Astyanax mexicanus: one gene and its partners. The protein of the gene in region 1 interacts with the protein of each later gene in a pairwise test. Links are inferred from orthologs where the notes say so. Each region holds a gene or a part of one and is shown in the gene's direction. Other genes may lie near its edges. The genes, in order: bag3, fam189a2 and litaf.

The links.
Region 2: the proteins of bag3 (region 1) and fam189a2 interact in a two-hybrid assay, tested with the Homo sapiens proteins (2 studies listed by BioGRID and IntAct). The link is inferred for Astyanax mexicanus from reciprocal best matches to the Homo sapiens genes BAG3 and ENTREP1.
Region 3: the proteins of bag3 (region 1) and litaf interact in binary tests that used the Homo sapiens proteins (3 or more experiments, as listed by UniProt). The two-hybrid records come from large-scale screens. The link is inferred for Astyanax mexicanus from reciprocal best matches to the Homo sapiens genes BAG3 and LITAF.

The regions. Positions count from the first base shown.
Region 1 is NC_064414.1:37,721,930-37,733,153, reverse strand, and holds the start of bag3 (BAG family molecular chaperone regulator 3), read left to right. Parts: upstream 1-6,365; 5' UTR 6,366-6,388; coding exon 6,389-6,580; intron 6,581-10,911; coding exon 10,912-11,224. Other genes in the region: tial1 (nucleolysin TIAR), read right to left, coding at 1,208-1,295, 1,448-1,502, 1,612-1,710, 1,896-1,992, 3,928-3,956. UniProt on the Homo sapiens protein: Co-chaperone and adapter protein that connects different classes of molecular chaperones including heat shock proteins 70 (HSP70s), e.g. HSPA1A/HSP70 or HSPA8/HSC70, and small heat shock proteins (sHSPs), e.g. HSPB8.
Region 2 is NC_064429.1:24,061,317-24,072,270, forward strand, and holds the start of fam189a2 (protein FAM189A2), read left to right. Parts: upstream 1-5,673; 5' UTR 5,674-5,954; coding exon 5,955-6,263; intron 6,264-8,677; coding exon 8,678-8,734; intron 8,735-10,954. Other genes in the region: coiled-coil domain-containing protein 158, read right to left, coding at 692-1,010, 1,089-1,198, 1,752-1,936, 2,032-2,168, 2,570-2,624, 2,828-2,924. UniProt on the Homo sapiens protein: Functions as an activator of the E3 ubiquitin protein ligase ITCH in the ubiquitination of the CXCL12-activated CXCR4 receptor. Thereby, triggers CXCR4 endocytosis and desensitization, negatively regulating the CXCL12/CXCR4 signaling pathway.
Region 3 is NC_064410.1:58,135,293-58,146,138, forward strand, and holds the start of litaf (lipopolysaccharide-induced tumor necrosis factor-alpha factor homolog), read left to right. Parts: upstream 1-5,952; 5' UTR 5,953-6,075; intron 6,076-7,692; 5' UTR 7,693-7,832; intron 7,833-8,839; 5' UTR 8,840-8,847; coding exon 8,848-9,073; intron 9,074-10,287; coding exon 10,288-10,444; intron 10,445-10,846. Other genes in the region: snn (stannin), read right to left, coding at 3,301-3,564.

The DNA.
Region 1 (11,224 bases):
AAACATTACTGTAAAACATTTTACAGTAACCTAAATGATTCATTGAAGTCATTACACTAGCAGTTCTCTACATCTTTTAACTATTAATGAGCTATCAAAAATATATATACACACACATGTTCATGCAACCTACACTACTGTCAGTTTTTAAAAGCTCTTGCTTAATCCTGGTTTTCACTGCATACTGATCCTAGTGTTACATACTAGGTCTTACACTTTCATACCACTAAGAATAAATATACTTAAAAAAAAAACACAAAAATAAATCAATTTGTTTACCATGCATTCCTAATTTCTGCTGTTGTCTCTAATCCTACCAGCAGAGATATATAGAAATATCAAAAGAGAAAAAAAGGAATTAAACGGCATACATGGCCTGTTAACAGATTTCTTTATTTTTCCTGGTCAATTCTTTACCACCATTGTGGAGTTTGGGAAGCTGCAAATTTTGAAAAATTGACATTTTCAGAATTTTAAGAAAATCAAACTATCAACAAAACTAGGCAAACCATAATGAAACATGAAACATTTTACAAGACGTTTTGAAGGACTGTTAAAAACTACTCTACTTCAGGGTTAATATAAAAATACTGCAGTACAAGTATGAAAAGTAAAGAGTGAATAGAAAAAAATCTACATCTGAGTTCCCAGTGTGCACAGTTCCTTGCTGTTAGCCTTCAAGCTCCTGTCCAATCCTATGAGCATTTCTGTAAAATAACCAGAGTGCTATTAACTGACACTCACAGCTAGGGGGGAAAAAAAGAATCTGAAAGATTCAGATTTACATTGACAATTTTAAATTCCATATATTGAACTGATTTAAAATGAAAAAAAATTAAATCCACTCACCATTTCTTCAAACAGGAATGTTTAATGATCCAGATATTCTATTCTAGGACACACCTTGCTTCTGGCACTAACCACGTTTTACTAAAAAACCCGTGTTTTATGACTAAATGTGTCATATCTATGTGAAATATTTACTTAGAATCAATATTTCCTTTGCTGTGTTTGTAACTATCTGTCCTGATTAATAGACAGTGTTATCCTAGGTCATGGTATTTCATACATCACAACTACACATTAATGCAAAAACATTTCCTTGTTTCCATCAAATATCCACTCATACAAACCTCTCTAGCTGTTTATTATTCAAAGAAAAGAACAAATCATCATTTGCAGAAAAACATAACATCTGCAAACTTACGAAATTTTCCCAAAGGGGGCAAATGCAGCTCTGATATCGTCAGTGGTGATCTCAGGACTCAAATCTCCAACAAAAACATGGAAATGATCTGGAAGGAGGAGGAAAAACATATTAATTGCAAGAACTTTTTAAAAGGTTAAATACAGAATCAAATAGGGACCCTTTGTTGCTGTATGTGAAATATATAATTAGTACAAAAACATTGTTTATACAAAGTGTTTAAAAAGAAACAAATCTTACTGGATGTGTCTTTCTTCTGACTGCTTGGAGTTGTTGCCCAATTTACTTTGACTTCCTGCACATAAAAAAATCGTTTTTAAGGTTAAACAGAAGAGTTTTCATATAAAGCAAATCACTAAGAGGGAAAAAACATCTTAAACAATTGACATGGCAAAACAAAGTACCTTTCCAAGAATCTTTCTTCCGTTCATTGCGGCTAGGGCAGCTGCGGCATCCCTGTGTTCAAAGAACTCCACAAAGCAATATGGGTCATTGCTTGTGTGCTGCAGAAAAGAAGGTCCAACAGAGTGTCACTGTTCTGACATTACAAAATAGCATGATTAGCACAATAGGACTTGAAAAAAGCAAAACATTTTCTTAGACTTCATTTAACAGGCAAAGACTTTGTAGGAAACCTAAACTTTAGTTAAAAATGAGTCTTTCAATCAGGGCTATATCCCATTCTTACCTCTGTTATCATTTTACAACTTTTACAGGGGCCAATCTGGGTGAACAACTGGAGTATCAAGTTCTCTGTGACATCCCTAGAGAGGTTCCCCACGTAACTGAAAAACAGAAAACACAGACATCCAGCATATCACAATGCTCAGAATGAGAAGTGAGAATAAAGCTTATTAGTTTAATCAATTCAGCAAAAATCTCAATGAAGCTTGCCTTTATGGCAAACCATTTTTAAATCTCTGTAATGCACTTTTTTACTAGTGGAAGCTCATTTCAGAGATCAGCTGTGATTTTGTATTAGTAAAATCAGATCTATAAAGACATTCTTACTATTCATTTTACCAGGAAGACATACCCTAGATCAAAGTATGACTACTCATACAAGTCATATCCAATCATTTAATTTATCAAAAGCCTTATCTATATGTGCACTTCTATAACAGAAATCTATAATTATTTTCTCCACTGGTAGATACTGTAATTTCAGATATCTATAATGTAATTCTGACAAATTCTATATTTGTACAACTTGAAAAGTTAATTATGGACCAGGTCTTTTTTTTATAGAGATGTGTAAATAACTGAAATTATTCTGGTATCCTGGTGAAAAAAAGTAATTCTAGATGTCTGTAATTGGAGTGTTTACTTGTAAAAATGCTAGAACGTTGATAATGTCATAGATCAGGTAAATATTTTACTAATATCTGAAATGTGAGTTTCTACTGGAAAACAAAAACGTAAATTACAGTTTTTTTTCTCAACAGCAGATTTCTTCACCTTACAACAAACCACACTAAAATGCAAAAAATGAACGTTAAAAAAGTCCAGTATATTTAAGCGAAATACAAAGAGCTTTTAAATCTCTTTATTTTTATTGGTAAAAACTGTCAGTTCGCTGGTGTCAGAAACGGCTTGCCACATTGCCCTTATTGTTCCAGATGAGCGAAAATGACAAAGGAAAGAAAGGCTAGCGTGTCTCTTTCTTTATTAAGCTAGCTAGCTAACTAGTTTGCCACCAATAACGTTACTCTTAAGAAGAAAACTTTTCTGAAAAAGCTAATAAATAACAGTGCCACGCCAAAAGGCAGAAAAATATAGGATAAAAACCCGATGTTAGTAAACCTAAGGCTAGCTGTCTGACAGTCACATTGTTTTCCGTTTAAAAATGCCGGAGAGGGCATTTCTGTAGCTTACAGACGGGCTGCCAACAGTTGTAGCCGTTTCTATAAATAGATCAGAACACTAAAACAATGACAACAAATAACAGAACAAAGTTGGCATTTCGTCGGGAAAATGTCTAGAAGAACAATAACCGTTCGTGTAAAGGGTGCACGGCACTGTAGTCTGTTATTAGGCCTCTGAAATCCAGCAGTGAGCGGCTGTGTGTCAGACAATAGCTAACGTTAAACAAGCGGCTACTGCTAGGCAGCTAAAGCTAGCTAGCTACTTTAGCTATCCCTTTGAAATTATTTGCTAAGCTAAGTTAAATTACTAGTCTATTTCATTGGATACGAGTCCATAATAAATTATAAAATTCTGCTTGTGGAGTTGGTTAATTATGTAACGGTAGACATGTAGCTATGACACCACATACAGCCCTTTATATAACTCAATTTTGTTTCACATAGCTACTCATATAACGTTAACTTACTTTAACTTGGACGGCTAACGGCGGCTAGCTAGCTGCTAGCCCCGCTCACAAGCTAACTATCTATGCAGCTAACGCTAGCTACTTATATTACCCATAGATAAACTGGCTAAGCTAGCTAGCAACCGTTGTTAGCTAGCAAGCAACGAGCTAGCAAACAGAGGTGAGCAGCAGTTCACACATCAGGCAGACAACACAACTCACTGACAACTCTGCACACTATGATTTTCACAGAGTTTAAACAGTTCTAGCCCTGTCCCTGAGCGCACATCTCTGTCTGAGAGGAGAAAAAAGACCCCAGAACAGGTTACGCTCCCGTTAAGTGAACGACTGTGGTTTAGAACACTCCAGTCTAAACGTATAGACAACTATCCCGCTCTAAAGTACTCACAGGGTTTTTGGGTGGCAGTCGTCTTCCATTCTCGGATGTCGTGCTAAGTCTTCGTGTAACCTCTCAACGGCTCCTGTGCCCTGTTATTTTGGTTAAAAGAACGCCAGACCGATTTAAGCTAGTTACTTTCTTTATTGTGTAGAAAATGGCGAAACCCGGCCAGCTAGGAATCCAGCCAACGCGCATGCGCGCAGCATCACGGGGTTGAGCACTGTTGAGCGAGTGCGAGCGCGTTCAAGCCCACAATAGCAAGTAGAGCGTAGCCTCAACACAGCGCAGTATGTGTGTAGACATATATACAGTTTGGGGGGGGGAACACCTAAAAATTATGATTTGTTTTTAATTTAATTGAATTTTTGCTTGAATTTTTGCTCCAGGAGTGGCATAAAGTTATCCTAAAGCATTTTGTAAGATTAGTGGAGAAGAACTTGACAAGATGCATGAAAACTGTGATTAAAACGGATGATTATTTCACCAAATATTCTGAACTCTTAAAACTTAATTAATAAGAACTTTATTATTGCATTATTTGAGGTTTGTAAGTTTTGCATCTTTTTGTTATTTCAGCCATTTCTCATTTTCTGCAAATAAATGCTCTAAATGACAATATTTTTATTTGGAATTTGAGAGAAATATTGTTAGTAGTTTATAGAATAAAACAACAATGCTCATTTTACTCAAACAGAGACCTATAAATAGCAAAATCAGAGAAACTGATTTAAAAAATAAGTTTTCTCTCATTTTTTCCAGAGCTCTATGTGTTTGTGTATGAGGCTTCACAGTAAGATATCCTAATGGAACCAGCAAAAATGTTTTTGTTTTTCTATTATTTTTTTTTATTATTTAATTAGTATGGTTAGGGTGCTTATATATATATATATATATATATATATATATATATATATATATATATATATATATATATATATATATATATATATATACACACACAAAAACAGAAAACAGAAAAATATATAAAAATATATATTCAGCTATAGGGAATGATTCTCCAGTATGTAGCCATGTGCCACTAGTACCAATATTTGATATGCAGAAAATTACAAAGTTTTGGATATATGTGTAAACTAATTGTGCAACAATAAACATTTACAACTATTACTACAACTACTCTAGGCATAGGTCATTGTGTGGGCTATGTGATGAAAATTAAAATGGTAATAATTTGCTTAAGGACATCTATTAGTGATTGTATTTTGAAGTGATTTTATTCCAAATTCCTCTTCTCTTGCTCTATAATTTAATTTTCAGTGGTCATTGCAGATGAGTTTGAGCATAGGAAAATGTATTAATGCAAATCAATAACTTCTTAATGCAAAATGTCTCTAATCATTCCCACGTAGCATTATACAAATATGCAGATTCCTGCACCCTTTTTAGAACATGTGGGGAACTTGATTTACTGAGAGATTAATCCCACATTGGCTTGCTTTAATGTAGTCTATGATCAGGAATTACATGCTAGTTGAAACTAATAAAATACCTCAGCAAATGCATAAGAACATGGAACATAGTCTCATTTTTCTGATGTCCAACACATTTAGTGATTTCCCTAGATTTGACAATTAACATTATGTACATAGCATATGTACACCTCTACTTTACCTCAAGTACATGGTTTGTGTACTTTGTCCACCATGTTGAAAACAGACGGATTGTATCAGATCAGTGTGGAAAAAGGGATGTTACGGGCAATCATTAAACTGGACTAACTTTCCAGGACAGGAAAAGATGACCCCTGCACTGAACAAACATGGTGGCAGTATAGTTCATGCTGTACTGCTGCACTTTTTTCATACACAGTATATCAACCTGTTAACCATAAAATGACCAGAATGATAAGTGTATCATGCTGCCTGTCATTTTTTTGCATTGTAGGCTTGATATAGCTGTGGTGTGGTCTGAATAATTGCTATTAGTCACTTGCTGTTAGTCAGTTGCTTGCATTTGATATACCAGGATTATAGGCAAAAGTTGACACTGTATGTTCTAGAAATGTCTAGAAAATCTAATCTTAATTTTGATAGCATAAGACTCTAAATGCTGAGGAGTGCCCTTCTGTCCTTCCCGTATGTTTTTTTGTCCCTGCCCTTCAAACATCTTTTGTTTCTATACATCTCAAAATATTTTAATATTTTAAATTTTCACATAAGGTTCTATTTTCTTTAGATTCTTCAGCATTGTCTCTAAATTATTTAATATTAAGGATTTTTTGTCATTCAAAATTATTTAATAATATTCTAATCAAATATTATTATTTTTTTTTACATAAGCAGAAGCTTATAGACGTATCCATTCTAAAGGGGTAGGTCAAGCCTCCAAGACTCAGCTGTGTTCAGCCCACTAGAACTTTCTCAGCAGCCCACCAGCTGCTTCGAGAAACCCACCCCCAGTCAGCCGTACGTCATCACATCGGTCCTTTAAAGGATCCGTGTGCGCTGTCATGGCACAATATTCAAGAGCGAGACTACAGCAGAGCATGAAAACACTGTCTCCTGTGGAAGCGATGGCTACGAATGACCCCCTGCCGCCAGGATGGGAGATCAAGATTGACCCTCAGACCGGCTGGCCGTTCTTTGTGGATCACAACAACCGCGTAACGACGTGGAACGACCCGAGACATGACTCTAAGAAGGTAGGATCTGCGGAGAGAGCCGTCGTGGCGCAGTCGCAGAACTGCCATGGAAGAAGTTGCGCTCTCACGTCCCTGTCGCTTCTCTGCTTTGCTTTTTTGCGGAGTGTCAAATAATGTGGCTGACAGGTGGTCTCCGGTGGGCTGGAGGGGGGGAGGCTTTGGTCTTTAGCTAGCTGTTTATTTGCTATTTGCTCTAGTGGACTGGTGGTGGACGTAGGCGTGAATAGTTTTTTAGCATAACTTTGTGTGGGTGATCTGATTTAACTGGCTACATTATTATAGACTGCGTTGATGTCTACATTCCGCTACATACATTATAATAAAAAAGCCTATAGAGAGACTTTTAAATAGCCAGTGGAGATACGTCGTATAGGCTGCTGGAGATACTTCTAAAGGTTCTGAGCTGAGCGGAATTATTAGTTGATTATTACCTTGGTTAGTTGGCTAGTTGAATGACATCAGGCCACATTCCTGAAATAGCGCCTCATATATTCTTTGTAGCTACCAGCTATCACGCTGTGTATAATATTTTAGTGTTATGATCTAAGCCGGCCAGCCTGCTTTTAGTGCGTGTGACGCACTGCAGTTGCATGTAGCCAAGCCTTAAGACTCGGAGTGTTTCAGAGTCTCCATAATGGTTATTTTTAAAGAGGCTGAAGCTCCACACACACACACACGCACAAACACACGCGCACACACACACTGCGTTTGTTCGGGAATATCGCCGCTGGAACTGCGCGCTATCATGTCTGTCCTCTAAAGTTTCCCTTACATGGGATTTGAGACGGATCCACCCTCTCTCTGAGCGCGTCGGTGATGACCAATGAATGGGTCGATACTTGGAAAGGCAGAATCATGGTGATTCAGTTGTTCAATTTCGTCAAAAAAAATTAAATAAAAGGAGAAAAGTCCTACTTTACTTTACTTCACATTATAAGCTGGAAATTCTTCTAAGCTGTTAGGTTGAATCACTCACTATAGGGTGCAGACTGTAGGGCTCGCCAGTTGGTATCTCTCATTAGAAAGATCAACACGTTGCTGTTGGCCAAAGTTAGTGTCACCAAGAATCTGCTGGAAAGACACAGCTGCCAGGAGATAAAATGAGCACAAGGCCGTCTCGGTGTCCACACGTCCATGCCAAAAAGGCAGAGGACACAAGGTCATTCACCTACTTCATTCACTTTAAAGCATTTTCTTTCTTCAGTTTTCTCACCAAACTACATGCTATACTATATACAACTACTTGTAAATGTATCCTAATTTTAGGTTAAACCAAAGCTAAACCAAATATAAGCCTTATTGTGTGGACCGACCAGGTTTAAAGACCTGACCACCTCCACCACCAGCACCACCACAATATCAAAATTTTTGTTTTGATTGCTGTCCCTCCCTGTGTGGGATGAGAGATTGTCTGGGGCCCATACCTCTGATTCACACTGATGAGTAAGGGAGGCCTTTTCTTTCTCATCATAGATCTGCTTAGTGACGCCCACCCCCTCACAAAGTGTATTTTAAGCTCCAGTGTCAACTAAACAGCAACCCATTCAACATACACACATGCACACACATACGCACACATAGAAACACATAACATGAGTCATGTAATATATGTACAGTAGCCTGTATAACTTCTGTATAGCTGTTGAACAGCCTATAGTTGCATGTAAAATGATTTATACTGTGAATGTGCTCTTTGCTCAGCCCTCACCCCATTGTTAAAACAGATTACTGTACATAAGTTGAGTTTAGCTCTAAATTTGTTGACCACACTGGGAAATTTCATACTTGATTTATACCACACTACTTTCACATGGCTTTACTTTAGCACAATTTGCAAAGATCATAAAGCACACTGTAACCATAAATATTTACAACTTTACAACAACCCGAAACTGAAATTAAAAGGCTAACAGCTTGTAAGACATAACACTGCACCATAAATCTTAGAAACTTTAATGCAATACTTACTTAAATTAAATTATTGCAATTTACAATTTACTCCACCTCTGTTCTTCGATAGTATGTCCTTAAATAATAGTTTGAATCATGGAAAATCAATGGAATATTCTGCCTGTGATGAAACGATACTTGTTTTCCTTACGGTCATCAGCGAGGTGATACTTTTGACATTGTGTGTAGGTATTTCACAACATCTAATTATCCTGCACATACCAACGGAGCACTCTCACATCTTACAGGAAAAAACAGGCTTGTGCTTATTATTTATGCTTGTTTTTTACATTTAATTTTGGACAGTCAGCCTGTTTTGTAATTAAATTATAGTCAAACATTTTATCATCTCTCTTCTCATACATTAAAATGCAAAGTTCATTAATAATAAAGGATAAAGTAGGGCCAAGAAAAAAAATGAAAACAGTGAAGAAAGCATTAGAGTGTAGAGTCTTCTATGGATTAAAGCAGCAGTATATTTGTCATAGTGTACAGGATTTCAAAAATATGAAAATTTATAGTATTCTATATAGTGGGTCAGTTTTGTTAATACAGTGATTAGAGTGACTAAATGTTATTTTGGTATTGTGACACACCACCAAAGGGGAACAGGCATATCTTTTCAGGGTAAAATTTATTTGATCTGACTTCAGATTTAAATTTGTTAAATACGAAAAACAATGAGGGATGACTTTTTTACTCAATGATTAAAATTGCTTGTTGATTTGTAAGAGATATTCTGCTAAAGACCCATCAGCCCCGTAAAGGTTCTGCTTTAGCCTACTGTTACTGCTACTGCTGCGAATAATACGCAATAAAATGTATACTTTTATACCATTTGTCAGTAGGGGTTTACCTTAAAATAATTTAAACCAGCTTTACACCTAGTTTAGTGCTTCATTGATTTGTAACAGTGGGCACAGCATCTATATTGCTGCTACTCTGGGTTAAACAAGCTGCTGCTAAGCTAACTTAGGCAGGCAGCAAAACATTGGCGAAAAGTGTAATATTTGTGTTAATACTCACTGTAATATTACTCTACCTTCTAAGCCCTCATGTTTCTTCTTTAACGGTTCTGTATGCTTTTAAAGTACAGGAATGCCTGTTAGATTATTGAAGGGTGTCTCAAAATGCAAATTGCACATCCCGACTGTAGGTGGAGCCCAGGAGTAAGAAATACCAGTGCTCACAGAATGCTGATTTAAAATGGCCATAAAATGCAGCTTTTAAAGCGCAATATATAGGTTGTCTCGTAAAGATAACGCAACAGATGGCATAATTTCTATATTTCTGCGGAATTTGTGGTTAAGATATGTAAAATCTAAAGAAATATTAGATTTGAAATATATTAGAATATTAATATTAGAAATATTGGCTTTGATGTTGACATGAATACATTGAATTGTTTTATTGCTACTGTCAAGCAGAACATTTTTTTGACACAATGTAAATCAAATGTTACTTTTTCCACAATAGAAATGCTACAGAAATGTAAAAAAAAAAATTCTTTGTTTATTTCTGTTAAAAGATTTGTTCCTTCTTCTGTAAAGTTTCCATTTTTGGAGACACATTTGTTGTGTGACCATAACGATTTATATTTTCGATATTATGTAAAAACGCTTTATATAGGGTCAGTTTTGCTTTCACAAAAACTCTGCCATGAATCAAAATATTGTGGCGTCTGTGTGTGTTTGTGTGTGCCAGCTTGTAGTGTGCCTGTGGGGGCGGGTCATGGTAATCCGGGGCCAGCGGGGCATTATGGGGGTATGTTTTGGGTGGGTTAAGGGGACCTACCATCTCTGTGCTGGATAGCTGGGTTGGTGGCGTCAGGGTTGTTTGTGCTGTGTTGGCTATTGGGTTTCGCTCTCCTAGCCTTGTTAAAGGCTATAAGGGAGTGGCAAGCCCGTTAATAAACAGCTGTTGAGTACTTGCAATGAGTCTCATGAGTCCTCCTTCTTCTTCCACACCACAATATTTTTTTTTCATAAGTCAGTATTGACAGCATATTAATAACTATTACTTGCAATTTCTTGTAAAGTAATTTTAGAGGCATTAAACCCTTAAAATAATTGTTTCTCAAGAACAGAGCATTATATTTCTATGTAGGGCTAAATTACTATGTTTCGCATATAAATCGTTAGTTTATTTTAATCGTAGTTAATTTTACAAACGTTTGGAGTTGTACATCTTGAGTGGCTGAAATGAAAAAACTTAAACTTTTGCCACATTGCTAAAACGGTGTAATGTGAGGAAACCTTAGCTTACCTTTCATATTAGGCTTTTGTTAATATCTATCATTTTGCAATAACAATAACTATTCATAGTTTTATTTCATAATACTTCTAATCTTCTAATGCTATGCTACGATTGTTGTGTTGCAGGTCATTCAGCTTTCTTCCAGTAGCCCATGTGCACCTACAGAGTTATCCCCTCAAGACAAGCACAAGACATTTATTCAGGAGATTAAACAGCCAACACTGCGCCAAGGTTACATCCCAATCCCTGTCATCCATGAAAATTTTGAGGCCAGGCCACATCCACTTTCCTATAAGCACCCAATGAACCCGCAAAACTTAAGAGCAGAAGGACGGACTCCATCCCCAACCCCCACGGCACACTGCCGGCCAAGATCTCCAGTGCAGTCCCCATCAGAGATTGATACTCACTGCTTGTCCTGCTCACCTGTTTCACAGG
Region 2 (10,954 bases), on another chromosome or scaffold:
AGTCAGAACAGTTAAGCCACTGTGCTGAAGTGCAGAAGAGTTATACAGGAGTTCCAGTTTAGTTCTCCAGCACAGAGACTGGAGCTGTATTAGCATTAGTAGCGTTAGTTCTTTTGTCATTCAGAGGCGAGTATTATCGGTTGCTAACCTCGGCTAGCACTGCTGGAGCTACCCGCTATCTGCGCTAAGTGCTAGCGCTAGTTATTTTGCAGTTCCAAAGTGAGTATTATCGTCCTGTAGACTGCTGCTAACCCCGGCTAGCACTGCTTGAGCAGTATTAGCATTACCCGCTAACCGCACTAAGCGCTAGCTCTTTCACCGTTCAGAGAGATGAGTATATCAGACTGCAGTCTGCTTATTTACCACGTTACGTGCTACGTGGGACGAACACTTAGGGTTCCTCAATGTAGCACTGTCTGGCTGCATTAATGCTAATGCTGCTACTTACTGAAAATCTGGAAATCTAAGCTAACTCTAAATAAAGGTAGCCCTTTACTTTCCCTAATAAATAATTTTCATTTTTTTAAGAATTACAGTTTTGTTCACTTAGCTGAATAAAATACTGTTCACTGTTACATATGTGACCAAACATACAAAAATATAATCGACAATTTTACAATTATCACAATTATCAAATATTATCAAAGTAACATTTCTAACATATAAAAGCATTTAGACATAAGTGACATACCGACTGCAGTTTCTCCTGGAGACCACAGTTCTCATTTTCAATATGTTGTAGTGCTTTCTCCAGGACTGGTCCTAGCGGAAGCTTGTCAGGATTGAAGGGGCCGTCACAGCAGAGATAGCTCCTTTTTCCACTGCGCTTCTCATACTGTGAGAGTCTGATGAACACGTCATGCAGCATCTGCTCCATGGTCTCTGCTTGTCTTCTAAAACACTCTGCTCTGTCCTCAGCTTCCATCAGCTTCTGCTTGACTTTGTGCAACTCCTGAAGAGTCTCCTGTAACTGTCCTGTTAGCTCAAATTGCTTCGTAGATTCCTTCTCTCTGTAAGGAGAAAATGTACAGACGTACTGCACTTCAGTCATAATTAGATCACAAGGGTTATGTTTAGATTTCTCTTACCTTAAGTCTTCCAGTGCATCTTTTTCAATCTGGTTCTCGTGCAGTTTGGTTTGTAGCTGGATGATGGTGTGGCGGTAATGATACTTCTGCTGGTCATGCAGCTCATATGTCTGAAAGAAATTAACAGGGAATATTAAGACACTGTATAAGGTCAAATCACCTGATAGACCTAATTTTTAATCGATATAGCAAAAATACTAATCACAAGTTTTATGTTGCACCATACATAATACAATGTTTTTCCCTCAGACATTTAAAAAGCCATAACACAGAAAATATACAAAATAACACCAATAGCACAAACTGTACATAATATATATAACTAATAGTGTATTAATTAATATTAAACATATAATATACCCTAAGGCACTAATTACATTAAATTAAAGTATTATAACAAGTATTTAAGCTTTTTAATGAAATACCCTGTTCAGTGTCGAATCGCTACTCAGAAAAAGCCATAAAATAATGCATTAAAACAATAATAATAAAATATTGTCAAATCCACCAGTCATTATTAATGTTTTCATAAGCAATATGACTGCAACTGCAATCTGTAGATTTGTGAATGTCATTGATTTTTATGTGGACTGTGCACTGCAGCCCTAGTATGAAACACAAATATCACTTCAAAAAGGCTGCTAACTTGCTCCAGATACAGACCTCTCTGATCTGCCTTTGAAGGTCAGAGACCTGCTGAGAGTACTCCTCTACAGCCTGCTCAAGAACATCTTTCCCTGGGAAGTTCAAACATCCTGCGGTGTTCACATCCAAATGATCGGCAGTAGGTCGAAGGACGCACGGTTGTCTGTAAATGCCACGTTCTGATGATGCTTCTGATGATCTACCTGCAAGACAGAAGCCAAAATCATGTAACTGAGTTTCATGTAGACTTCAAAGTATACAGATAACAGGCTATTATCAAAAAGTGTAATATTCTCACTTGTTGCTGAACTGTAGTTTACTGGCAAGTCCGTGTTGAAAGATGTCCGACCCATCCTCTGCATAGTCAGTCTGGTGGCTTGTTCAACTTCTTCTTGAAGCTTTTGTGTCTCCCTGGTTTGTTTCTCCAGTTCCTCACTTTGAAGAGTGTGATTAGTTTGTTTAGAACAAAAAGTGTTTTTTACATCACTATTTTTCAACCCACCTTTTTCTTGGAAACAGAGGCATCACCAGGATTGTCAAGTTAGTGGGCATAGCAAAATGGATTTAAAAGGTAAAAAAGACAGACAGACCAAAAGGAGGTGGGTGGAAGGATGGAGGGATGGATTGACAGACGGACGAACAGAGAGACAGGTAGGGAGAGAAAAAGACAGATCAATGGGTGGATGGATGGACTGACAAAAAAGACAGGTGGATGGATAGAGAATGGAATAGAGGGACAGGCAGAGAGATGGAAAGATTGATAATTGAATGGATAGGTGAACAGGTGAATGAGTGAATTGATAGACAGATCTCTCCCAAATATTAATTATTCATACCTCAGAACATCCAGGCTGATATTGGGTCTTTCTGGCATGCCTTCTTCCAAACAACCTAAAAAAAGATTAAGGAACTGTTAGACTTAGATTAGTAAAGTCTGGCCTGCTTAACCAACTAGTTAACTAACCTAGCTAGTTAACTGTCGCTATCGCTAACATACTAGCTTACTACCAAACTACGATAAACTTTTACAGCCTTAAGGGTTTTCCTGCCGCCTTTATGCGGACTAACAGCGGGAATATTAGAGTTGAACTCACCTGGGGGAAGAGCTGGCTGAAGCGGGTCCCTCACAGCTCTCTCACGGCGGGGCTCGACCTCCGGGCGGAGGCGCTTCTCACTCTGACCGGTAAACATTGTTCGCAGAGTCGGGCTGCATTCTGTGATTGTTCACTCTTCAACACTGATAAAATAAACAGCGGGCGAAATAGTAAATATGGAAAAGCGGAGCTGGGCGAGTCGTTAATTTGCCGGGCGCCGAACAAAATGCATACTTACTAAATTAGCTTAGCTAACCTCGCTAACTAGCAAAATAACTCCGTTCAATAACTTTTCCCCTCTCTGTGAGCCAAGGCAGCTAATTTAGCTTAGCTTAGCTTAGCTTGTTAGCCTACAGCTTAACTGGATGAGGGAAGCCGCGCTGTTGCTCTAGCAACAGGTATCCTACTGTACCAGAGCCGGTGTTCCGTCAATTTGTGCTATCTTGTCAAACCGTGCTGCCCTAGTGTTTATTTAACTGTAAAAACACCATAGTAGAGCATGTTTCCAGTAAGAGTCCCAGTAGATGTAGCTAGCTAGTATATTTGGAAAGCATAAATTACTGTACCTTGGCAACGAGAGGACATTACAAAATGCTTTTGTATTTTTTATACTAATTATTGTATTTTTTTATTCTTATTAATTTTCATTTACACTTTTTTGTAATGACAGTGAGTCCATGTTATAACAGATTTATTATTAAAACAAAACAAAACAATTTTGTTTTTAAAGTGTTTAAATCATCAAAAAGTGTAGGTCAGCGCATGCGCAGTGCCTTAGGAAGCACGTATCGATGGGTATCTTAACCCGACAAAACACCGGTTCATGGAGAGACCGCCACTTACTGGTATTCCTGCCGTTACTGTCATAAAATGAGCTCAAACCGCTAGATGGAGCCCACTAGTGAGTCCTTAATGAATGGGGGTCAATGGAGATAAACAGCTAAAACTTAAATTAAAAAATATAACTAAATACTTTTCCAGGATATTCCTCTAATTCTAGAAAGTAGAATGAAGTATTTTGTTTAAAAAAGCAAAGAAAACGTAACATATATTTCCAGTTTCTACAGAAAATATAAACATTAAACCAAACTATTAATTCGCTCCATACCATAGACTGTATATAGCTGGACAGAGCATCGTCTCTTAAAAGTGAAGCCACCACAGGTCGGGCGCCCCCTGCTGTTCGGCTGCAGAAAGCTGTGTAACTCCACCCATCCCCATAGGTTTCAATGGCAAAACAGACAACTTTCAATCACGTTTTTTTCTAATATACTGTAATTCTACCTCCATTATTTAAATGCAACAGCTAGTGTAACCTCTGCTTATATTGTCAAATTTTTATATCCCCACAGAATTCGGTTTTTAAAACTTTATTCGGCTCTATTAAAAAAAGGTGTGGTTATGGTAAAAGGGCTGCTTATGGACGGGACCAATAACAGACCGTCAGCTCCGCTCCGTCCCGCTCTGCAGTCTGTGACCGCGAGGCAGCCCTCAGGGGCGGGGTTATTTAAAAGAGTAGGCGGTCTCTCCACAGCCTTTCTCCCTCCTCTGGTCTCTACTGCGCAGACTCTGGTCTCTGAATCGCCAAAATGGCGGAAGATTTTGGCTTCATTTTCATTGAATGAATGGGAACGGCGACACGGCGTCCATCTTTATATACAGTCTATGTGCGATCCTTTTAAATGGCGATTCAATTAATTTGAATGGGGATTCGTTCTATTATTTTTTTTTCATTTTGATTCTTTTACAGGAAATTACTTTTAAGGGCATTTTTAAGTAGCTTTTAATGGCTATTTGATGATTCGATGATCTAGAAGCTTTTAAATAAGCGGCATGGTAAGACACCTTTAAGTATGTAGCATATGTTTAAAAGCTTTTAAATCTGTGGCATGATTTAGAAGCTTTTAACCTTCAGCATGATTTTAGAAGCTTTCACGTCTGTGTGGTGCTGGGACAAGGCAGTGTGAAGGAGAAGGAGCTTTGCTTTTTTTATTGGTTTGATTTATTAAAATCTGTTTGTGGTCATCTTATTTTAAGAAATGATTGATTTATTATAATGCACTCTAAGATGAGAGCATGACTGCTGTTTGGTTTAAATAAAAAAGAATCAGCAAAATCATCTTTCTTCACTCCCACTCTCTCCCTTTCTTTTTTCTTTCTCTCTTGTTCTCCCTCTTTTTCTTTCTCTCTCTTGTTCTCTATCTCTCTCTGTCACAGTCACTTGTTCTCTATCTTCTTTTTTCTAACTCTTGTTCTTTCCCTTTAGTCCTGTTCTTTCTCTTTTTCTACTGTTTTTCTCATTTCCTTTTTTTCTCCCTCTTGTTTTCACACACTCTTGTTCTCTCATTCTCTTTTTCTTGTTCTCTTGCTTTCTTTCTCTTTCTCCCTCACACACTCTTGTACTCTCTTGTTCTTTCTCTTTTGCTCTCACACACACACTCTCTTTTTTCTTTTTTCTCTTTTTCTCTCTCCTTTTCTCTTGTTCTCTTTGTCACACACTCTTTCTCTTGTTCTTTCTTTTTTTCTCCTGTTCTCTTTTCCTTTTGTTCTCTTGCTTTCTTTCTCTTTCTCCCATTCACACTCTTGTTCTCTCTTGTTCTTTCTCTCTTTCTTTCTCTTGTTCTTTTTTTCTCTGTCATACACATCTCTCTTTTTCTCCTTTAATCTTTTTTCTTGTTATCTCGCTTTCTGTCTCTCTTATTCTTTCTCTTTTTCTCTTTTGTTATCTCTCCAATTCTCTCTCCTTTTCTCTTGTTCTCTCGCTTTCTTTCTTTTTCTCCCTATATTTCTCTCACACACTCTTGTTCTCTCTCTCTCTCTCTCTCTCTCTCTCTCTCTCAGTGCAGGGTGGTCTATTCCCACACACTCCTCCTCCTCCTCCTCCTCCTCTTCTTCTCTTGTCTCTTTGCCAACTATGTGAAACGCAATCCGGGCGCCAGGAGTTATTTTAGACCCTCGTGTTCTCTGTTTCTTTCTCTCCACCTCGAGAGGATCATGGACGGAGCGCTGAGGGGATCCAGCAGCTCCTCCCGCCGGTTTCAGCTGAACCCATTCGGAGTAAAATGAGGGACCCGAGCCGCCTCCGCTCCCCGGTCACTGCTGCTCCTCTCCTGGCCGCTCTTCTCCAATGTCTCTGCCGGTAGTCCTGCCCGGTTCCTGCTGTCGCTTAGCCCGGGCTTCTCTAGCCCCTCACTTCGGAGAGCCCTCGCCGTCTTCCAGAGGCCGCAGCCGCTGCTGCTCGGCCGCCGCTCGGTGGCGAATGTCCGGCTCCCAGGCGCGGCTCTCCCCCGCGCTGCTGCCCGCTCGACCGCTGCTCTCGCTCGGGCTGCTGCAGCTGGTCCTCGGCTGCTCCATGGTAGCGCTGTCCTTTGGGGCTCTGTCCCTCAGTAACTCGCCTCCCATCCGGAATTCGTGCCCGTTTTGGGCAGGATCTTCAGTGAGTACCTCAGTGTCTGAGATTTAGCTTCATTTTTAGTTATTAAATACGTGTCCTGCAGTGTTTGCTTTGTGTTCCGTCGTGTTTATAAAAAATGTAAACAAGCTGCTTCCTATAAGATTTTCAGTCTGTCATGTTTACATTATATAGGTTTACCTGCATGTTCCAGTTTTCTTTGGTTGTTTTTGAGTATGATTTATAGTAGTGGTAGTGTAAAGCTGTTGTTGTGAACACCACAGGTAAGCTTTAGCTTATACTTGATTAGCTAATTAATTAGTGTTTGATTGAGTTAATAGGATTTCCCTGCTGAAAAATCCACCCCAATACCAGCTTTTGCTAGTAGCTGGTTTTGATGGTCTTTCAGGGGCAATGTGCTTGAATAGCTGGTTACCAAATAAAAAAAATGATGGATTTGGTATACTGCTTCAAAGCCACATTATGTTTATGTGAACTTCAATTTTGGTCACAGATAGAAAAGTTATAACCCAGCTTGTTGACTAACTACTCCCAGTATTGTCTATGTTGCTTTTGAGTTTGGTCATGTTAGTCCAGCTTGGTCTTGTTGGTCAGGTTGGTCCTTCTTATAGAACCAGATAAACCATCAAACCCAAACAAAAAAAGTGTACTGAAGACCTAATCTGACAAACCATTTTACCCCCAGCAAGGATATAATGAACAGTATATGACCACAATTCTGTTACCTGCAATTACTTTCAGTGACCTCAAGCTTTGGCCATATTTATCTCAAATACAAACACTGAGATGAGCGGATGACCTGTGATGTGTTTATAATGTGGTGATACAGTAGCGAGTCAGTGTTTATAGTTTTTGGTGTGTTGTAGTATTGTTTCCTTAAGTACTGACATATTTAGACAAACACCTTCTCATTTGATGTTTTTTCCTTTTATTTTCTACATTGCAGTTCATATTGAAAACGATGAAACTACTTAATAAATAATATTTTTTCATAGAAACAGTGTTAAACCAGAATATTTTTTTATTCGATTCTTCACATCAGTCCTGATTTGCTTTAATGACAGCTTTAAACAGTCTGGGTCATTTTTTTCTCTTGTTCAGCTTCATAAGTCACTGTGAATATTTTTCTAACAATCTTGAAGTGGTTACCTGAAGTGTGTAAAGTCCATATGTATTTCTTCATAGTATATTTCTTCAATATTAACCAAATATTAATCTGCACAAAAAACAATGAGAAGGTGTGTCCAAACTTTTGGCCCATGTATTGCTAAAGATTTCTCTTATACAAACACACTGGCCTGTAGTGTACAATTTCTCTCATCTCGGATGAGGTTGATCAGATGTGTTTGGTGTCTAAAATTGTTTTTTTTTGCTAAAGCTTTGAAACTATACTAAACTACTAACTATAGTAAAAATGTATAATAGCTATATTTTACAAAAGTAATACTTATCATAAGTTCAAGTCCAAACTAACGAAGCAAACTTCAGGTACCAAACATGTCTTGGCCAATCAATTACGCTCAACTATGTAGCTATGTATCGATTAGCTATTACATAAGAACCACTGACAGCCGCAGCAAAAAAATATATTGATTATCTTGGTCTTCAGTGGGATTTAACATATTATGCAGCAAGTGAACAGTCATTTTTGAAGGTGATGTTAAAAACACAAAACATGGACAAAAATCAGGATTTGACCCGCTTTGACAATAGCGTAACTATGACGGCTAGACAACTATGGGCTTAGAGCATCTCTTAAACATCAGGTGGTTGTGGGTTTTTTTCTGCAATGTGGTCCAAAAAAGGACAACCTGTGAACTGGCAACAGGTTAAGGGGCACCTTAAGGGGCAGCTCATTGATGCAATCTGTTCAGGCCCAAACTCACAACATACAGAGCTTAATGGATCTGCTGCTGGTAACATGTTGGTGCCAGATACCACATGATGCCTTCAGAGCTAATGTGCAGTCAGTGCCTGACAGAATGGTCAGATCGGTTGTGGTGGCACAAGAGTGACCTACACAAAACTCAATATTAGTACGCAATTTGAACTCACCCCAAGTTGTTTTCTTCCACTCTTGTCATACATTATTCATCATTTTTTACTGAAACAATTAGAGGATAATGAAGGATTACTGAGGAAATCCAGGAATTGTGTAGCCACATATTAGAGAAGCATCTCTAAATTATTAACAGAAAGTAGCATTCAAAGATGCTGAGGTAAAAAAAAAAAGCATTTAGATGGTTTGAAATGAGTAAAATGGGGTTTTCCATGGACAAAAATACATGAGACCATCAGAGCTAAGAAACAAAGAGCAGGATGTAAAAGTGTTGGTGGCCATATGGTAATACCTTACGCATCTGCTGCAGCTACATTGCAAAGTTAATCTGTCTGCTCCATGGCGTATTTGCTGAATTAGCTGATTCTGTTCTCTGCAGGTCATCCTCTCGGGGATTATCGGTCTCACAACATGGAAGCGGCCAATGCTCCTGCTGGTACGTGTCTCACTGCTTCAGTTTCTGACTCTGGTTGATATTCACGCTTAAAGGGATGGTACATAGAAAAATTTAATTCCCACAAACAGTCCAGTGGAAAAATAATGTATGTTAAGTGTAATCCCATTTCACCCCTTGGCCCTACCACTTACTCTTAATCTTTTGGTTTGTGCATGCATGCCTAGGAGTTAACCAGCAGCTAGGTTGCTGAACTTTAGCGCTTCACTGCTATATATTTGTATTGGGTACTTAAAAGGGTGGTCCCATTTTTAGGGGCAAGATTTCACCCCTTCCACTTGTTACTCTCTTCCAAGGGAAAGGGGTTAATGGGATTGGACCTTTGTGTGGAATGTTTACTTATTTAGTTTTGCTCTGCAGCTTCAAAATAAAGAAATTAGTCCAAAATTCTAAATAAGAATCGACAGCATATCTATAGTATATATTCTCAACTGATACCACCCATTTTAAAAACAAGGCAAGACCCCACGAATAAATTCAGTCCATTTGACCCATATTGTTTATTTATTGTGTTATTTTCACCCCTTGTTCCTCCAATTCACCCCTATTCATTTTTAGACTCAAGCCTTAGTTTTTTTTTGCCCAACAACCACCAAACTGTGCGATCTGTAAGATCTAATCCACAGTCATACTGCCCAAAATGTGAATTGTCTTCTTTCAGCAAAGGTCCACAAGTTCTTATCCACAGCTGTACTGACCTGCACTCACCTATTTATAATTTTTCATCCTTTGTTCCTCCCAAATCTCCTCCATTCAGAGGCTTTGATTTTCATTTGTCTGGCAGCCACCAAACTGCTTGTACTCCTTCAGGGCAGGTCCCCAAGCTCTAATCCACATCCACACTGACCCATACACATCTGTTTGTCGTTTTTCATGCCTCTTTCCTCTTGTTCAGCTGTTTCCTTTAGGAAGTGCACTCCTCTATTATTGTATATTATACAACTCAAAACAGCTCTGTGGTATTTTTATTTGTTAGGGTGTAAACTACTAGCAAGAAGTTGTACTCATTGTCAGTGATTCACAAACCCACGCTCACTGACACACACACAGTCACATGTTGTAACAGAAATACATACTTCTGTCTGTAGCTCAGTTTAAAATAAAGCTGGTAGGAAACTGTTTGTGTTCCTCCGGTTTTACAGGAAATGGCTACCATCTCTAAGGATCAATGATCAGTAAACATGCAGTTAGTTTAAATTAGTGCTAATAAAGATAATGTATCATCTAAGCCGGTCCAAGGACAGCACTTTTATCTCCTTATCATGGATTTCTGTTTGCAGCCCTTTTCCTTATCCTGTCCCCCTGTGATGGGTTATTAGAGACGGAAGTGACCCTCCACCGACCTCACACACACCGGCTCTATGAACAACGAGCCTTCAATTTAGACCTCATTAATCTAGCCTCAAGCTGTCCGTTTAGTCTCTAACTGTGGAATCAAAATCTGCTGTGCATTTATGTGTCTGCATGTTATTTTTCCTTTGTGTAGGGCAACAGGATATTGGAAAAGAATTACATTGCATTAGTTGTTTATTGCATTACATTGCAATATATACAAAATATCAGTAAATTATTTTCACCAGAAGACACTAAAATTAGCATTTCTTAAATGTAAAAAAAAAAAAGACATAACACAGATGAGTTGGCCTGATTAATTAATCTGATGTCATTGACGTATCGTGTAATATATGGAACTGACCTCAAAAAAGCATATAAAAAATATACTGAAGCCAAAATACATAATTACATTTCCCAAATTATAAGTCGTTAAAAATTATTTATTCTCTAATTTTTATTGCAGTTGTTTTTGGAGCAATATATTATCTGTGAAAATTTGGGTAGATATGTAGCATATCGTTGCCATTAAAACAAAACCTTGTCATTCAATTTGTGCCAATTTTGTAAACAATTTTGCAAATTGTCTAGCTTTTTTTCACAAATTAATTTAATGCAGACATAAACCAAATATTTGGCAACCAAAAAAATTTAACATCTAACATTAAGATATATATTATTTAATATTCACAGTTGCTGTAGTACAATCTATACAGGTTGTGTATGTGTAATTGTAATTTCACTGTAAAACACACTGAGAATTTTAGTAATACTAAAATGCATACAAACGTACCATAAACTGTTTTTATTTATCGTATTACTTTGACAGAGTTCTAAAAATGCTGTATAATATTTATTTATTTTTTTTTA
Region 3 (10,846 bases), on another chromosome or scaffold:
CACAAAGTAGCAGTTACAAGCAGTAACTTGCCATTAACAGTAGGTACAGATCCCTCCTTCAAAAGAAGTCTGCTGGCTAATCCCCGAAGTGGCTCTGATTGGGGTTGACAGGTGAAGGGTGGTGCCAGGGTGCTTCGTTGTTATGTCACAATAAGGGAGCATCCAAAATCCACCTTATAGGCGCATATTCCTGACACCTAACTCTTTCAGCTTATTCACAGAAAACTGATGGATGAAAACTTGGTATTTGGAGTGTTTACAAGGGCTGGCGAGACCCAAGTGGAAATACAAAAACATGCAAAAAAAAAAAAAGAGTTTTGCATAATATGTCCCCTTTAATATGCTATTTTAGAATATTTATTATTATATTGTATTATCTGATGAAACTGGTCTTAACATAACAGTAATATCGTTTATCGCAATCATTTCTGGAAACAATAGATTGTCTATGAATTGGTTATTGTGACAGGCCTAGTCTCACATGTGATCTGTGTACTGGTTTTCTAATGGAAAATAAAGTGCACCAAAAAATCCTCAAGTTTACACAATTACAACAGCAGTCTTAGAAAGGCATACACTGACAGTATGCTAGGCTAGGCCTGTAGACATCATATTTATATATTATATGCGCTACAGTACATTAATATCAGTACAACAACGGTGGAAAAAGGTGATTATTTGGGCATTATCAGAATTCTTTCTGCCCGTTAAAACCCAGCGTCTGAACACAAGACTCAAGATCAATGAATTCTACAAATGTTGTTCGCATGAATTTCATATAAAAATAAATGATTTTCTCCCACGTGTACAAACAGCTAATGATCAAACAAAACACATACACTTTAATGCCTCAGTCGTTTTCTTCAGTGTGATCAATGTATAGAAATAAAGGTCTATAAAAATAATATTTACACACCTTCCAACTCACATCCAACACCTTCATACAGAAACAAAGTGCTCAGCCACCATTAAAACACCTCTGGATTCTCTCCAGTCATTGGCTCTGCTTTATGGCGGTTTCTTAGCAGTGCAGAATCGGTATATATGTATATAAATCACATAAAAATGGAATTCACTGATTTATTAAAACGTCTTCATGATTCAGTAATTAAGAGGTAAACTAAGACATTCAGAGTGGTTTGTGAAATTAATCACTATAGAAATTAGGGGAGAGACAAAACATTAATCAATATTTGGCCATATGTCATATACTATTCCTTTTCTTTGCAATATATTAGCAATATGTGGCATCAACTATCATCAAAATATTTATTAAAACAAAGGAGGTCTTAAGTCTCTAAGTCTCGCCCCTGAGTCTTACTTACTAAAGTTACTGCTTCATTACTCCACATGGTGGCACTAATCTAATAAACAGGGTAAACCTGCGGTGAAGAATATAGGTTGTTAAACCAATGTTTGTATATACTGTGACATATATTAAGTGCTTGATTTTAAAAATGCATTAATGCATATATGCATTATTGGCATTGTCACACATTATAGGACCCACGTAGCTAAAGAAACAGGGCGATCACTTCTCTGTTTGCATCAATATAACCTACAGCACTGTCCACTGTTGGTGGTAATTCCTTAGATATGACATAATAACTGGTACACACAGTATGTTACACTGTGGATTGAGGAATGTTAAATACCTGTACAATTTCTTATTATTATCACAAAATTTAAATACATTTTCACAGCCAAAATGCATCAGTAGTGATATCTTTAAAAAACGCTGTTCAAATACCGTTACTTTCGTATACTGAGTACAGTGACTTTTATTTGAAAATAAACTGTAATTCCTCCAATTAAACTAGACTAATAATCTTTCTTTAATGAAATGTACAGCACTGGTATCTTTGATATCCTTTCATGGGTATATTGTCAATACAATAAATCACAAATATTGTCAATACAATAAATACAATCACCTGTATAATATTTAAAAAATTAGCTACTGCATCTACCTCATCTGTTTTCATTTGATACATATATATTGCTGCACTAAAAGGTAGTAATTCTCATTTGTGAAAGTTGGGTTTAATGTCACTTTGAAATAAAGTAAAAAAGTAAGCAATTATATAATTTTGTCATATTTTTCGAAGAATAACTAAACACATACTTAAATGTGGTATATCATGATATATATATATTATATATACAGCATATATAGTATTATGAACAATGATTCACACAGGCAAAAAGTTAAAAGCATCAACAAAATCAATTTCTATTATTTTCTATGATAATTTCACACTGTCCACTCTGAATGACTGTTCAGACATCAATCACTAAATTATGTAGAAATTTTAAGTTGATCAGTTGAATAAATCTCTAAAACCTAAACCCATACATCATCATAACCCTGACCTGTGATTAAATGAATTTTGTAAGATGCACATAAAAGTTACTTGATGGCATGTCAGTATTAGAATTACTCATCAAAACTCTGATTTCGGGTATTCTCACACTAGGTGGTCTGTCCTGTGTTTGAGCTTGTCTCCCCCAAAAAGTCTGGTTAGTTTAACTAGCGTAAACGCTCTGTAACAAAATTCTGTGCAATCTTGACAAGAAACGCAAAACCAAAAATGTACTTTGTGATGATGTAAGCATACTAAATCCTGGAGTGGGAGAAAAGGCAGGGATGATCATTAGGTTTAGGTACGGTACCAGTAAACCAGGCCTAGTGTGAGAACACCCTTTAAGATAATTACTGCTATTGACTATTATACAGTCATTACGCTTCCTGTGTAAAAAAAAAAAGCATGTCAGATGTGCATCTATTCTTCCCTTGTTTAAAGTGACTTAATAAATCCAGTAACAGACTGCAGTTATTCCTCCTTTTCAGTGCACACCAGAGCCAGCTCTGGCAGAAACATGAATTATTTTAAAATACTACAAACAGAAAATGTGTTTTTTTTTCTGCATTTTGGACAAATATGTGACCTTTAAACATTAAGGGAGTGATTTGAACAGATGAATAAAGGTCAGCTCTTCTATAAAAATGCAGGGAGCTCCTCAGTTTCACATTATAACAGGGTTCCACTGGACAAACACTAATAGGAAAATGTCCAAACAAGGGTGAGTTAGAAGCAGCTAGACAAATGCATGCACTGGTCATGTTTGGTGTGTGTGTGTGTGTGTACATGTGTGTGAGACAACCTGAAGCCACATCCGGTCTTAAAAGAGAAATGATCATGATCTTAAGTGCTGAAAGTCCTTGTTCTAAATACAAGGATCGACCGAATCGGACCCCTGTGGACCCTCACACAGAACATCTGCCCTGTAACAGGGGAATTAGCTGTGGCTCTCGGTACCGTTAGGGGTCAGCTTGGTCTTATGCTCGACCCGTGGGCCTCGGGCTGAGTACTGGACCATCAGAAACGGCTCCTTGGTCTCTCCCTCTCCGACGATGCTCTCCTCGTCCTCGGATTGGCCGATACGCTGCAGGCGAAGGTAGCACCAGCAGCCGAAGATCAGCGCCCCCAGAGCGGCGATGGCTATGAGGATCACGATGATGGTCACCACGCCGGTGGTGGGGCTGTGGTCCATTATAGACATGCTTGTTGTGGAGGAGAAGTCGTTCCTGGTGTTAATAAATCAATCTGGGAGGCTGGCCAGCGTGGTTTTGTTGGCCTACAGGTCTTTGGATATCTGATTCAGAAAGAAAAGAGAAACATGGAAAGGTTATAATGAGTATCAGCTTTTTCCTCAATACCAAGGGTCTTTTCACATAGTTTATTATTATTAATAGTTTATTATTCCAATATGTATTAATAAATATTATTTATTAGTAAAAAAAAAAAATTCTCATCTTATCAATAACTTTATTATTTCCCTTCTTCACCTGTCAGACCTCTTCTACTTTTCACTGCTAAAACTGAGACTTAGTCCAATCATGTTAAGCTAAAGAGCTAAAGGCTAAAGCTGTTTCCATGTGGGTCAGCCAGACGTCTTCCTGTAGCAGTTTTCTCCAGTTTCCAAGAGTCTTTTAAAGGTGTAAGAAACACTACTCATCGCTCTCTGGCTTTTACAATCTACTATATATATAAAATATATATTTACAGCGAATCAGTAATAGCCCTGACAATTTACGGTACAAGTTTGTACACTGAATTTTGTCCCATTTCCGGTTACTGACTAAACCTGGACCATTGTGAGCATGTGTGCAATACCAAACAATTCCTGAGATTTGTATACTTTTAATTTAACTTTAATTAGGTTCTAATTCAGAAATCCTTACAGCCAGGTTGAGATGATTACAGTAAAGTAAAAAAAAAAAAAGTTTACTCAATTTAATTTATCATGAATTCTCTATTCCAGCACCCTACGTTGGCTTTATCTCCATTCAAACATACAAATATATACTAGTATTTTTGTTGACACCACTAATATAAATATAATTACATTTTGCATTTCCAACATTCAGTCTTTTATTAACATTTAAATATCCACTATAAAAACTTGCATCTTAAAAACAACAAGTGTGATTAATCACAGTTAATCACAGAATACTGTTGTGATTAATCTGAAAACATTTTTTAATCGATTGACACCACTAATATATATATATAATATAGGGCTGCAACTAATGCTTATTTTGGTAGTCGACTTTACTGGCAATTATTTTTCCCATTAGTCGATTAGTCAACGAACATTTCTGCCATACCCTCCATCTCTGCTTGATGGCTGGGTATGGCTGCTGTTTCTAATTTTCTTCGTCTTCGTCTTAAATGTCTTTGCTTCAGCTAAACAAAGAATTTAAATGCCCTTCATATGTCCAGAACATTGCCCTTAAAATGTGGAAAGTGCTGATATTTAGTGAGGAAATGTGTACTCTGTTGCGTTTAGGCATGTTTAGTACTTTGTGTAGTGCTGCAAATTAACGATTAGGTCAAGGAACATTTGGTGTTGACAAATTTTTATAATCGACATTGTTGGTTATATCAACTAATCGTTGCAGCCCTAATAAAGAAGAGCTTAAAAAGAGCTCTTTGACCTGAAGAGCTTAAATAAATTAGGGGTAGTGTTGTAGTTTATGTTATATTTTTAGTTCTTATATAATAACTAAAAACAGTTTTTATGTGCCGAAATAGCAAAAACACTAACTAGCTGATATAAAGCCTGAGTTAGGCCAGAGTCAGAAATCAGAGTCAGACACACACACAGCTTCTGATCTGAGAAACAGGAACCTCCTTCTGCGCGGGATTCTCGTCAACTTTAACACCAAGAATCAGCGCAAGATTTAGAGCACACACTGCAGATTATCTGTATTACAAACATATTTAATTTATCCCTTCATAAACTCTCTATTTCTCACCATGATCCGCTGCAGCTCCGCCGCTTCATTCCCGTTACCGAGCGGATCAGTCCTCCGGACCGCCCCCCGCCATGTCCCCGGCCCTGATTAATCCAGTTTAATCCGGTTTAAAACACTAAATACAGTAAATATGGCGATAATAAAGACGAATCAGAGTTAAACCCGCTGCAGCAGCGACATCATAACACAATATATAACCCAGCAGAGCAGGAACGCTGGGAGACTGACTGTCACAGGGAAGGAAGTGAGATCACAGCTGCAAAACTGAGCTCAACCAATCAGAGCAGCGGAAACGGCAGCTGCATAGAAACGGGGCAAAGCTTTATTTACCACCAGCAGCCATCCAAATAATAAAAATAAAATACAATACATAAATAACATATACATAAGATAATACATAAGATAATAAAATGTAAAAAAAATTAATGTAAATGCTATTAAAGGGGATCGAAACCCCCTGATTTTTGCTGAGTGGGGTAGTTTGGGGGAGTCACTGGATGATGTATAGGTTTAGGGGCGGGGCATGAAGGAGAGCTGATTGGCTGAGCTGGGGGAAGAGAGATACAGAAAGAGAGAGAAAGATGGAGAGAGAGGGGAGAGAGAGAGAGAGAGAGAGAGAGAGAGAGAGAGAGAGAGAGAGATGGGGATGAAGAGGGAGAGGAAAAATCACAATGTAACCAGAAATCACCAGGTGATAAAAAATATGTTAAAGAGTAGAGCAGGGAGTTCAGGAGGAGCAAGAGCAGAAATGAGTAAGTAAAAGTCAGTGCTTTTTTTGCTAATTGTGTTGCTATTAAATAATGACTGGAATATAAAACTGTTATAAAATAACTAATCAAACATTAATGTTACAGTATTGTTAATGACTTAAAGATAAATACCAATACTTATAATAAATAATAAAATTGGTCGTACACTAGTTGTTTTGCTATTTGCTACAAACATGTGACAGACATATATTTTGGGCTAGTTTAAGTTTTTGAAGAGCGGGTTTAAGACTGACTTTGGGCTGGATTTTTTTTTTGAACCTGGCAACCCTGCACATCATCTACGCCTATAGCACAGTTAATCCATAGAGGGCGCTGCAGAGGCGGAAAATACCACAAAATGGGTTTTATTAAAGAGGCACTAAACCCCCTGATTTTTGCTGACTCCACCCTCAAAATAAGTCTAAACAATAAGAGGGGTAGTTTGGGAGGGGCACTTGATGATGTATGGGTTTGGAGGCGGGGCAGGAGGGAGAGCAGTGAAATGCAGATGGTTGAACATCAGCAGGTGGGTGGTATTATTGATTGTGTGATCTCCGTATTGTGATTTGTCTGCGTTCCAAAGTACACGGACACATCATCCTCGTCTATAGCACAGTTAAACCTAGAGAGCGCTGCAGAGGTGGAAATTTCCACACTAAAAGGGTTTTATAAAAGGGGCACTAGACACCCCTGATTTTTGCTGACTCCACCCTCAAAACAACTCAAATTTGAAAAAGTAAAAAAAATAGGAGTGGTAGTTTGTGAGGGGAAATGGGTGATGTATGGGTTAAGGATCATATTCTATGTCCTCTGAAAAATAATAACTTAGTTTCAATTTATGTAATAATGAGTAAAGTAGATGTTGTGGACTTTCATTTCTGTTACCCAAAACATAAAAATTAACAGAAGTGAGTTCCAGCAACATGAATGAGTGCCGGTAATAGGAGTGATTGTTTTGTCATAAATATCAATTATTTAAACATGCAGTCAACCATTTCTTTACAATAAAGACTTTCTCATAGAAAATCAAAGGAATTAGTGGACTTTTTTTTTTAATGTCACGTGAGTTTTGTAACAATCTTCGGCTTAGAAACCTTGTAAAAAGTTAAGTAAAGCTGCCTGAGTTTGACCAGTACATGTTTTGAATAGTTAAATATGTGTTATTAGATTCAGAGTTGAAAAAAGATAAAAAAAAAAAAGTTTTATTTGAAAGAGTTACAACAATCATGTGCCCTCAGTGCATTTATTAGAACTGTGTTTTATAAATGTATAATAATCACAACTCTAACAATCCTTACCCAATTTTTTACAAGGTTTGGTTTGTTACAAACAGCAGATGTAGCAATGATACAGGAAACTGTTATACATTACAAATAGATGCTTTCATACTAAAATATTTTGTAATATGCTGTTATGCTCTTTAACAAAAACAGACATATGGTATGGCATATAAATTGTGTATAAATTAGTTCATTTTATATTTATATGTACATACATACACATACATATACATATAAAATTAATTCATTTACACACTTGAAGTTTCACGTTCCACAGAGTTTATGTTAATAATTCACTTCTGATGTTGATCCGGGTCTTTTTCTGGTGTTTTGTTTACAGTGTGAGTGAAGGGCGGGAGCTCCTCCAGACTGAGCCCATGTGACTGAAGGCGGAACTGGAGAAACGCTGTGAAAACAGACGGAGATGAAAAACTAGAGAAATATACTTTAATTCCCTCATCTGAAGCTCTTCTACACAGCGTGAGTCTGAGACACTGCTGAGATCTTATACACTGTCTGATTACTGAGCTGATAGACGGGGGGATGAGGGGTAAAGGGGGGAGTTTGTTTTTGGGCTGAAGGCTGAAGTTGTGCTGAAAGAGGAAATATGGCGACTTTGTGATGAAACGTGTAAAAGTGGCTGAACACTTTCACTTTAATAGAGCATTTTATTCTAACTGCTATGGTTAAAATATGGTATATGTGAGATAGACTGTTAGTAAGTACAGGTGGGCAGTACCTATATGTGTATACACATATATATATATATATATATATATATATATATATATATATATATATATATATATATATATGTATACATATATACATATATATACATATATATATATATATATATATATATATATATATATATATATATATATATTGTCAATCGATTAAAAACATTATCAGATTAATCTGAACAATTCTCTGTGATTAATCACACTTGTTCTTCTTAAGACATGAGATATTTATATTAGTGGTGTCAGTTAAAATACTAGTATGTATTTGTATGTTTGAGGGGCGAAAAAAAAAAACAATTGGATGGAGGAAACTATTTTTTTTTCTTTATTGTTATCTATATGTCTGAACCCAGACCTGCTCCAGAGCATTACAATATATGTACAGGTGTATATATATTTGTATACATTTACAGGACACAAAAAATACATTACTCTTTTTTGAGATGCAGATAAAAGGCTTTAGCACTAATAGTACTACAGCAAAACAATTTGCTGAAATCCATTCTCCTATCAGAACTAAACATGGTATTTTAAAATAAAACATGTGAATGGGTGATATGCACAACATGTACACAGAAAAGCAGCAGACTGTTTATTATAGTAATAAAACTCCATCTTTACGATACATATCATGATAGTAAATGTCATATGGTGAATTTGTGATAAAACATGTGAATGTGGCTGAGCATTTGTACTGATCCTCACCCTGCTGCTGCTGCTGCTTCTTCTTTTCCTCCACAGCTCCAGGGATGGCCAGCGCTCCTCCTATGGAGATCATGGGTCCGACGGGACAGGCAGCTCCCTGCCCACCGACTTATGAAGAGTCTGTGAACGCAGGAACGCCGTTCCCCCCCGGGGCTCATATGCCCCCTCCGCCTGTCTACAGCAAGGCCCCCCAACCCCCCTACCCAGCCCAGGGCTACACCCAGATGTACTCACCTCCACCTCCTCCCACTGGACCTGGAGCTCCTGTGGGTGAGTAGGAGCATGGTGTTTCTCTAGAGTTTGGAGACTGAGCCTAATTCAATTAGGAGATACTATGTGTGTGTGTGTGTATGTGCTGCAGCATTACATCATTGCTACATCATAAATATAAATTATAAATGTTAGATGATCTACACTGTCACTAGGTTTGATGAAGAATATACTACTTGCATTACTTAAGTAAAAAAAAGGTTGAATACTTAATATTTAATTTAAATGAGAACTCTAGTGTAAAATGGACTTTTGTTGTAGTAAATCATGATGAAAAGTACTTACCTTTGATGAATAGCACACCTCCGTTCTCCCACAGCGTTCAGAGATACAGAAATTTGAACAGTTTGTCCAAACACCCTTCAGACTGGATGACACGTGGCATAATTTGCCCCGATAAATCGCTTTTTCCACAGTTATCCAGCTCAAAGTAGCTCCACACCTCCCTGCTAGAATCCGGAGAGCCCTGCCATTTAAAATGAGGCATTAATAACTTAAAAAGTACGCAAGAAGCTTATTAAAAACACTGTTCACATCCCATAACGCTAGCTTCAGCTCCGTGTGCCACCATCACTGTACTGATAATGACATAGACAAATACATAGACATAGCAGCCAGCACCAGGAGGCAGGCTATGTGGATTCCATGTATATATATATGTCTGTCATTATCAGTACATGACAGACATATATACATAGATCCCTTAATATTTGACTGTGGAGCTAAAACAACACATCAACTTCTGCTCAAGTTTCTTTTTTTCTGGAACACTTGAACTTTTACTAAACTTTTAATTCTGTCTCTCTAGTACTTTATATACACACAATTACATGCCTTATTGGATAAAGCAACTACAGTACACATGGTTGACTCTGTAACAAATTGTGCCTCTCCCTGATCTCTTCAAAGGGTTATTGTCTGCCAGTAACTAAAACCCTAAAAATAAAACCACAACCTGTGTGACAGAAAGAATGGCTGAGGTTTTACTTCCTGAAACAGAGAACTTTCACTATAATACAGAATTTCCATCTAACTGCTGTGGTTAAAAGCTGGTATATGTAAGATAAACTGTAAAAGTATAGTTGTGCAGAACGTTTTATCATATATGTATTGAACATATACACACATACATATACACTGTCTTAGTATTAAAAAAACACACCATCATGTTTATCCAATCAGAACATGTGTTTTTGTTTGTTTTTTCTTCTCAGTGACTGTGCAGACCGTATATGTGCAGCCTGGCATGGTGTTCGGGCACACTCCAGTGCAGGTCCACTGCCCTAACTGTGCCCAGACTGTAGTGACCCGTTTGGATTACTCTTCAGGCACTATGACCTGGCTGACCTGCGCAGGACTCTTCATTTTTGGGTGAGATACTATAGTGAACATCTGATAGTAAGCTAATAAAGGCAGGATTTTACACAAAATTTGTTATATACATTTAATGATATGTTTATAAGCTGATTAATGCTACTTTTTATCATCAGTTATTTAAGTATCTTGGGTGTAAAGATCAAAAATCATATCTCTCTGTGTGTATATATTCTCTAAACTGGAGTATTCTAGAATTTCTTAGTGCGCATATATATATGTATATATATATATATATATATATATACATATATATATATACACACACTCTTAACTGGAGTGTTCTAGGATTTCACAGTGCCTGTTAATATACTTTTAACTGGAGTATTTTAGGATTTCTCAGTTTGTGTGTATATATATATATATATATATATGTATGTTTGTATGTATATATACCCA